Anolis sagrei: one gene and its partner. The protein of the gene in region 2 purifies or fractionates together with the protein of the main gene of each other region. This does not show direct contact. Links are inferred from orthologs where the notes say so. Each region holds a gene or a part of one and is shown on either strand. Other genes may lie near its edges.

Region 1 (3,905 bases), on a different chromosome or scaffold from region 2:
TCAGCGTCGGCGGCCCGCAGCTGCAAAATGGGCGTCCCAGGGCTGCTGTTCTCCGCCAAGTCGGCCTCGTAGACGCTCTTCTCGAAGCGGGGGCTGTTGTCGTTCACGTCGGTGATCAGCACCCTCAGCAGGGCCTGCGAAGAGCGAGCTGGGTCTCCACCGTCACGCACGCGGAGGCTCAGCTCATAGGCGTCGCGCTGCTCTCGATCCAAAGGCCCTTTGACAATCAGCTGGGGCTGCTTCTCCCCGTCGGGGGTGTCTGCAACTTGCAGCTCGAAGACGGTGCTCCGGGCCGTCGAGGAGCCTCCGCCTCCTTCTGCTTCGGGCCTCCTCTTGTCTGAGGCGCCTCGCCGCCCCTCACCACCGCCGGGCTCTTGGAGCAGCTCATAGCGCTCGATTCCGTTCCGCCCGAAGTCGCGGTCAGTGGCGGTGGGAAGGAGGTAGAGAGTGCCCACGGGGCGGTTCTCCTCCACGGTGAGCGTCAGCACTGGGGACGGGAAGGTCGGCGTGTTGTCATTGATGTCCAGGATGACCACCCGGCCTTCGAAGAGGTCCACCCAGCTCTGCGAAGGGCCGATGACGGAGACTTCGAAGTCGAGGAAGCACTCGTTCTCGTCGAAGATCATCTGGCACTGCGGCAGCTTCTCGCGGTCGATGCGGCGCTCGGTGGTGCTCAGCTCGCCCGTCATGTTGTCGATCTTGAGGTAGTCGGCGCCGGACTCGAGGCTGAACGTGACCTCGCCCGAGCCGGTGACGATGCCCAGGTCGGAGGCGACGTTGCCGATGCGGATGTCGGCGGGGCCCTCCTCGGCCAGGCGGTAGCGCAGCACCTGCTTGGCCGACGCCGGCACCACCAGCCCCAGCGGCGGAGGCAGCAGGAGAAGGAGCCAGCAGGCGCAGCAGCGCACCAGGGCCGGCAGCCGGCGCAGCCGCCACATCCTCCTCCGAGCCCTCAGCCTCCCAGCCAGGCAGGAGAAGAAGCACCCGAGAAGACGTCCCTTTGGCAATCCGGAGGGGGGGGGGGGGAAGCGGAGGCAAATCAACGCGTACAATCCTGCTTTGGAGGAGAAACTTCGCGGTGCATCAGAGCAATCGAGTCCAGAGCTGTCACTGGGAGGCTCTTCTTCTTCTTGCTTTCCTCCCGCGTTCCTTTCGATACTCACAGTTCACGGGGCAAAGCGGCTTTGGCTCGAGGAAAGATTCATCTCAGCGGAGAGGCTTGGAAAGGAAAGGAGGGGGCAGTTCCGCCTCTTTCTCCTCCCTCCCTCCTCCCTCTTCCCTCCTCCTCCTCCTCCGCCTTGGATGGTACTGTAATCACTTTGCAAGGTTGGCAAGAAAAGGAAGAGGAGCAGCGGCGAGGAAAGAAGGGGATGCAAGGCTGCCTCGCGCCCAAGTCCAGTCCAATTCGCGCGCGCTCTCCCTCTCCTTCTCCCTCCCTCTCTCTCGCTCACCGCCGTCGCTTCAGCTCTTTCCTCCTCCTCCTCCTCCTCTCCGCTCCGCAGACACCCGCCGAGGAGGAGGGGGTGGAGTGGGGGAATGTCAATCGCTTCATTCAGAGCGGGCTGGTGTCCGGTGGAGGGGAAAGGACCGAGAGAGAGAGAGAAGGGAAGAAAGAAAGAAGAGCAGGCAGGCTTCCCAGTCCACTTCTCCGGCGATGGAATTAAAAAGAGAACCTTTCCCGCACCAAATAGCCCATCTCCAATGCCTCTGTTGGGGGGGGGGGGGGGAGAGAGAGAACACGTTTCTTTCTCCTCTCGTTCTCTTCTCCTCTCGTTCTCTTCTAGGAATCCCCTTCGATGCTCAGGATGGCGCCCAAATCCACAGGGATGTCCGTTTCAGTCCCTTCTCAGCAAAGGAGCAGGTCTTTCGTCAAATATGAAGAAGAATACAAAAATAAATCAACTCTGCGCAAGGTCATTAGTCCCGAAAAGTCCGAAAGGCTAAGAGGAGAGGGAAGCAAGGAAGCAAGGAAGGATGGAGAGCTGGCTACTAGCTCTTTCCCAGCCGTGGAGGCACACACAGCACACACACGCGCGCGCGACGCCGGAGTCCCAAGTTTGCCGTCGCCTCTGCAGTTGGGCTGCGCGTGTGCGCGCGCGGGAAGGCGGGAGCGCGGACGGGCGCGTTGGGTCCGTGGGCGCCTTACCTGCATTTACCCTGCATGGCTTGGAGGCAGCGGAAGGGGCTGCAGCAGCAGCAGGGACAAGGAGAGAGTGCCAAGCTCCGGCTTTGGCGGCTTCCCCTCGCCGTCCCAGGCAGGTAAAAAAGGGGGTGGCAAGTTCAGCCCCTCCCCTCCCTCCTTCCGTGTCCCTCTGGTCCAAAGGTGAGCCCAAAGGTCGGCTGCGGGGGAGGGGGAGAAGAGTCAGGATGGCGTGCTTCCAGTAGCCCTAGCTTCCTTCCTCGTTGATCGATGCAGGGAAAGAGCTGGGACTGGGTCTTCTCTCCACGTGAAGGGCTGGATTATATCCGTCGCAACGCGTGTCCAAAAGAATGATGGCTGGTAATCAAAGGCAATGCCGAAGGAGAGCCGAACGAGAGCCGCAGTTGTGGCTGTTCGCTTTCCCTCTCTCTCCCTCTCTCTCTCTTTCTGTGTCTCTGCTGGCTCGCCTCGCTCAAGTGCGGCTGGTTGGTGCAGGGAGCTCGCTAGCCTCTCTCGCTCAATCTCTGGGAGGCACACACTTGCAGGGGCGCGCGCGCGGGCGCGCTCCCGCGCACTCCCTCACACGCCGCGGAGCAGAGGAAAGCGCGAGCGTGACGCCTGGCCGCTGGAAGCAGAAAGAAAGGGGGGGGGAGAGAGAGAAGGGAGGGGGGAGGGGGAGAAAGCGGCGGAGCATCAAGTTTGTCCTAAAGTGCTTGGGAATGGGAAGCCTCTCTCAGCGGCGGAGGTGGCTCTTCTCTCTTTCCCTCCCGCCGACGCAGAAAGCAAAAGCCCAGCTAAAAACCTCTCCCCCTCCCTCCTTTGCTTCAAACACCATATTTCAGTCAGAAACTCCTCGGGTGCTGAAAGAGGGGAAGCCACGTCTTCTATGTGTCCAAACGGGGGGAAGGGTTTGTGTTTTTTTTGAGGAGGAAAAGGAGGGGGGAGAGTCATGTGGAGTCTGCTTTGCATAGTCTTTTATTGACGTTTCCCCTCATCACTTTCGGAGGGTCGTGACAGACAGGAAGAGAGGGAGAGCTGCAGTGACTCGAGAGAGATCCAAACTCCAGGGAGGAGGAGAAGGAGAAGGAGAGGAACCTCCAGCCTGTACACAAGAGAGTCTACAGGGAGGGGAGATCCCTGGATTAGAGAGATGGCTCTCCCGCTATTTCATTCCTTCCTCTGTCTCTGTCTCTGTCTCTGTCTCTCTCTCTCTCTCTCCCGCGCTGTGGGGCTGACTGACGCGTGTCAAGCAGAACCGGCTCCCGCCTGCCTCTGAAAGCAACTTTCTTCCCTTCCTCTGGTCCAAAACTCCGTCCTCTTTGGCTTGTTCCCTCAGCTCGCCACTTTCTCCTTTTGACTTTGAGGCGTTCCGCCGCCAGTGGCATTCCCCCCTCTCTTTTTTTTCTAAAGAGGGGGCAAGGAACGCCTGTTGGCTTCTCCCTCCCTCCCTCCCAGCGAGGGAGAAAGAGGCAGCTGGCTGCGGAGGAGGAAGAGGAGGAGGAAGGCGAAGAAGGGCTGACTTAATGCAAAAAGCCTTATTGGGGAGAGTTGTTCTTTCTCCTCCTCCTCCTCCTCCTCTTCCTCTTCCCCCCTTTAACTGGAAGACTGCTTTGACAGGGCAGAAACAGCGCCGCCGTGACTGAAGGGTTGGAAAACCCCAGGAAAGGGCGAAGAGTATTGGAAGCGGCTGAGAAAGGCGCTGCGGAAAGAGCCGCCCTCCCCCCTCCCTCCTCCCCGCCGCGGAGAGGGAGCTCGAGCTCGAGCC
Region 2 (3,905 bases):
ATTAGATCAGCCCCCTCCCTCCTGACCTTTCGAAAAAGAGTAAAAACTTGGCTCTTTGAGTAAGCATTCGGAACCTCGGGTTAAACAGACAAAACTTGAATCGGAAATTGACCCAGGAACGACCAAGACGATGGAACGGATGAGTATTTGAACGAGAGGACATAGTTTCCAGATTTTTAAATGTATTGTAATGTTTCTTTTTGCTTTATCAATGTATGTATTTTATGGTATCGAATTGTGCCGACTGAGCCGCCTCCGGGCTGATAAGGGCAGGATAGAAATAATGTAAATAAATAAATAAGTAAATAAATAAATCTGTGGAAGGTCCAGGGTGGGAGAAAGAACTTGTCTGTTAAAGGCAAGTGTGAATGTTGCAATTAATCACCATGATTAGCACTGAAAATTGTTGGAGGAGACCACAAGACCCCTCCCTGCTTTGCAAATCAGTCTAAGGGCCGGGGGTGGTCCATGCCTTGGTCACCTCTAGATTGGATTACTGTAATGCACTCTACGTGGGGCTGCGTGACCTGGGTATAGGGTGGCAACCTGTGCTGGACGGGGTTACACTCCCCCTGAAGCCACAGGTCTGCAGTTTGGGAGTCCTCTTGGATTCATTGCTTACGCTTGAGGCTCAGGCGTTGGCGGTGTCTGGGAGGGCTTTCGCACAATTGAGACTCGTGCGCCAACTGCGACCGTACCTCGCGAAGGCTGATCTGGCCGGGGTGGTCCATGCCTTGGTGACCTCCAGATTGGACTACTGCAATGCGCTCTACGTGGGGCTGCCCTTGAAAACGGCTCGGAAATTCCAACTGGTTCAACGGGCGGCGGCCAGGATGTTAACTGGCGCTCCTTTCAGAGAGAGGTCAACCCTCCTGTTTAAGGAGCTGCATTGGCTGCCGTTTACCTACCGAGCCCAATTCAAGGTGCAGGTGCTTTACCTACAAAGCCCTAAACGGTTTGGGACCTGCCTACTTGCGTGACTGCATCTCCGTTTATGAACCCATGAGCTCACTTCGTTCATCCGGAGAGGCCCTGCTCGCGATCCCACCTGTGTCGCAGGCGCGTTTGGTGGGAACGAGGGACAGGGCCTTCTCTGTGGTTGCCCCCCGACTTTGGAACACCCTCCCCAAAGACATTAGACTAGCACCCACGTTGGCAGTATTTAGGAAGAATTTGAAGACCTGGTTATTCCGATGTGCCTTTCCAGAATAGGATAACCTCCAGCACTACGTCCCAGAAGCACTTTATTAGAGTTTAAGACTCTCTGCACATTGCACTTGCCCAGAATTCCAACATACCACCTCACACACCCAGCACTTTTTAACCTATACCCATCATTGGCCCGGCTCTGGTTTTATTGCGTAATAGTGTCATGTTTTGTTGTGTTATTGCTTATGTTTTTAATTTGCTTTGCATCGTATTGTTATTGTCTGTTGTTGTTGTGTTGAGGCCTTGGCCTTTGTAAGCCGCATCGAGTCCTTCGGGAGATGCTAAAGGTAAAGGTAGTCCCCTGACATTAAGTCCAGTCATGTCTGACTCTGGGGTGTGGTGCTCATCTCCATTTCTAAGCCGAAGAGCCAGCGTTGTCCGTAGACACCTCCAAGGTCATGTGGCCGGCATGACTGCATGGAGCGCCGTTACCTTCCCGCCGGAGCGGTACCTATTGATCTACTCACATTTTGCATGTTTTCGAACTGCTAGGTTGGCAGAAGCTAGGGTTGACAGCGGAAGCTCACGCCACTCCTCGGAATCGAACCTGCGACCTTTCGATCAACAAGCTCAGCAGCTCAGTGCTTTAACCCACTGCGCCGGGAGATGCTAGCAGGGTACAAATAAAATTTAATAATAATAATAAGGGCCCTTCCACACAGCCATATAAGCCAGAATATCAAGGTAGAAATATCTGCTTTGAACTGGATTATCTGAGTCCTCACTGCCATATACTACAGTTCAAAGCAGATATTGTGCGATTTTTTTTCAGCTGTGTGGAAGGGGTCTAACTCTCACGAAAGGAGAAGACGGGATGTTTTGTAGGCGCAAAGTTCAAGCAAAGGGAAGGGGCGATTCCTCCAAGGCCACGTACGTGCCTGGCTGCTGCTTTCCAACCCAGGCTCAAGATCTACTGCTGCTGGGGAGCTTTCCCAAGGCCGTGCCAGGGGCGAGGGGAGGGGCTGATGATCCCCCCAGGGCTGCGCCTGGGCCTTCTCGATGGGTTGAAAGAGGGCCTGGCGATTCCGGGGCCTGGCGGAGGGAAGGGATCCCCGAACACGCCCCTCACACAGCCTCGCTCACTCACCGATGAGGCGGCGCACCTCCTCCTGGCTCATGTAGACGCTGAGGCCCGGCCCAATGGCGGCGGCGGCGAGGGTCGCCTCGAGGGGCTCCCTCAGAGTCTCGGCGCCCGCGGGGGGCCACGGCGGCAAGAGGACGGCGAGCAGCACGAAGGGGCGGAGGAAGCTGCCATGGCCCTGGCCGCCCCGCACCATCGCCCCCTTCGCTCCCGCCCGAGCGCCCCCCCCCCCTCACGCTCCTGGGCAGGCCCTCGTGCTCCCGCCGCGCGACGCCCCTGCGCCCAGGCCCGCCGGCCTCCTCGGCGCCATCCTCCCTCGGCAACAACACGAGGACGCGCCCCGGACACGAGCGAGCGAGCGAGCGCGCGCCCTCTCTATTTATTATCTTTTTTTTTTTAACCGCCGCCGAGGCGCGAGCCAAGACCCGTCGCGCGCCGATAGGGAGGAGGGTGGGGGAAGCCCTGCGCCGGAACGCCAGTGCGCATGCGTCACTCGCCGCTGCCTCCGAGCTTGCGCAGAAGAGCCACTGGGAAACGTCTTCCTGTCCAAACTTCGTGACGTCATATTTCTCCCTTCTCTCTTCCTTCCAGTTTTGGAGAGACAATTTTTCTGCAGCTGGGATCGTGGAGGGTTAAATTGATACTCTTTCGCAGATTTTGTTGGACTACAGCTCCCATCAATCCTAGCCAGTACAGTGAGGAATGAGGGGCGTGGTGCTAAATCAGGCATGGGCAAGCTTGGGCCTTCCTCCAGGTGTTTTGGACTTCAACTCCCACCATTGCTAACAGCCTCAGGCCTGTTCCTTTTCTCCCTCAGCCACTTTGAGGAATGAGGGGCGTGGTGCTAAATCAGGCATGGGCAAACATGGGCCCTCCAGGTGTTTTGGACTTCAACTCCCACCGTTCCTAAGAGCCTCAGGCCTTTTGGACTTCAACTCCCACCATTGCTAACAGCCTTAGGCCTTTTCCTTTTCCGCCTCAGGCTGTTAGTCTTACTATTGTTATAATGTTGTTTTTATGCTTTCATATTTTTTATGCAATGTGATTGGGCTTGGCCCCATGTAAGTCGGGGCGAATCCCTTCGGGGAGATGTAGGCAGGGTATAAAAATAAAGTTGTTGTTGTTGTTGTTATGATTATTATATAATTACGCAAACACATAGCCAGTCTAAGAAGAAGTCCATTGTTTGGAATGGAAGAGCCTGGGATGCTCTCTCGGCTGTCTAGCTCAGGCATGGGAAAAGTTCAACTCTCGTTCAGTAATTTTTATTGAATTTTGTCAAAGTATACATTAAAACAACATTGAGAAAAGGGGGGAAAGAAAAGAGAAGGAAAAGGCGAAAAAGATTGAGAAAGAAAAAAAACAACAGCAGCAAAAACACACTCAACTCACAACACAACCCACACACACAACCCATCAAACAACCCACAAAACCTACACCCTATAGTGACCTCCATTCTTCTTACTTTATTAAGTCCTCTGTATTTCTTTTCTTCTTCCCTCCTTGGTGTTTATTTATGTCCAGAGAGAAAGCATCTTGTATGTTCTTTCTATTTCTCCTATTTCGTTTAGCTTAACCAGTCTTTTCTTTCTATATATTCCTGTAAAACCGTCC

Evidence for each region.
Region 1: the proteins of RYK (region 2) and PCDH7 purify together in Homo sapiens (affinity purification with mass spectrometry; 3 studies listed by BioGRID and IntAct, with this or other methods). This does not show direct contact. The link is inferred for Anolis sagrei from reciprocal best matches to the Homo sapiens genes RYK and PCDH7.

Annotation. Positions count from the first base shown.
Region 1 is NC_090025.1:115,071,723-115,075,627, reverse strand, and holds the start of PCDH7 (protocadherin-7), read right to left. Parts: upstream 2,738-3,905; 5' UTR 939-2,737; coding exon 1-938.
Region 2 is NC_090023.1:225,882,618-225,886,522, reverse strand, and holds the start of RYK (tyrosine-protein kinase RYK), read right to left. Parts: upstream 2,781-3,905; 5' UTR 2,487-2,780; coding exon 2,297-2,486; intron 1-2,296. UniProt on the Homo sapiens protein: May be a coreceptor along with FZD8 of Wnt proteins, such as WNT1, WNT3, WNT3A and WNT5A. Involved in neuron differentiation, axon guidance, corpus callosum establishment and neurite outgrowth.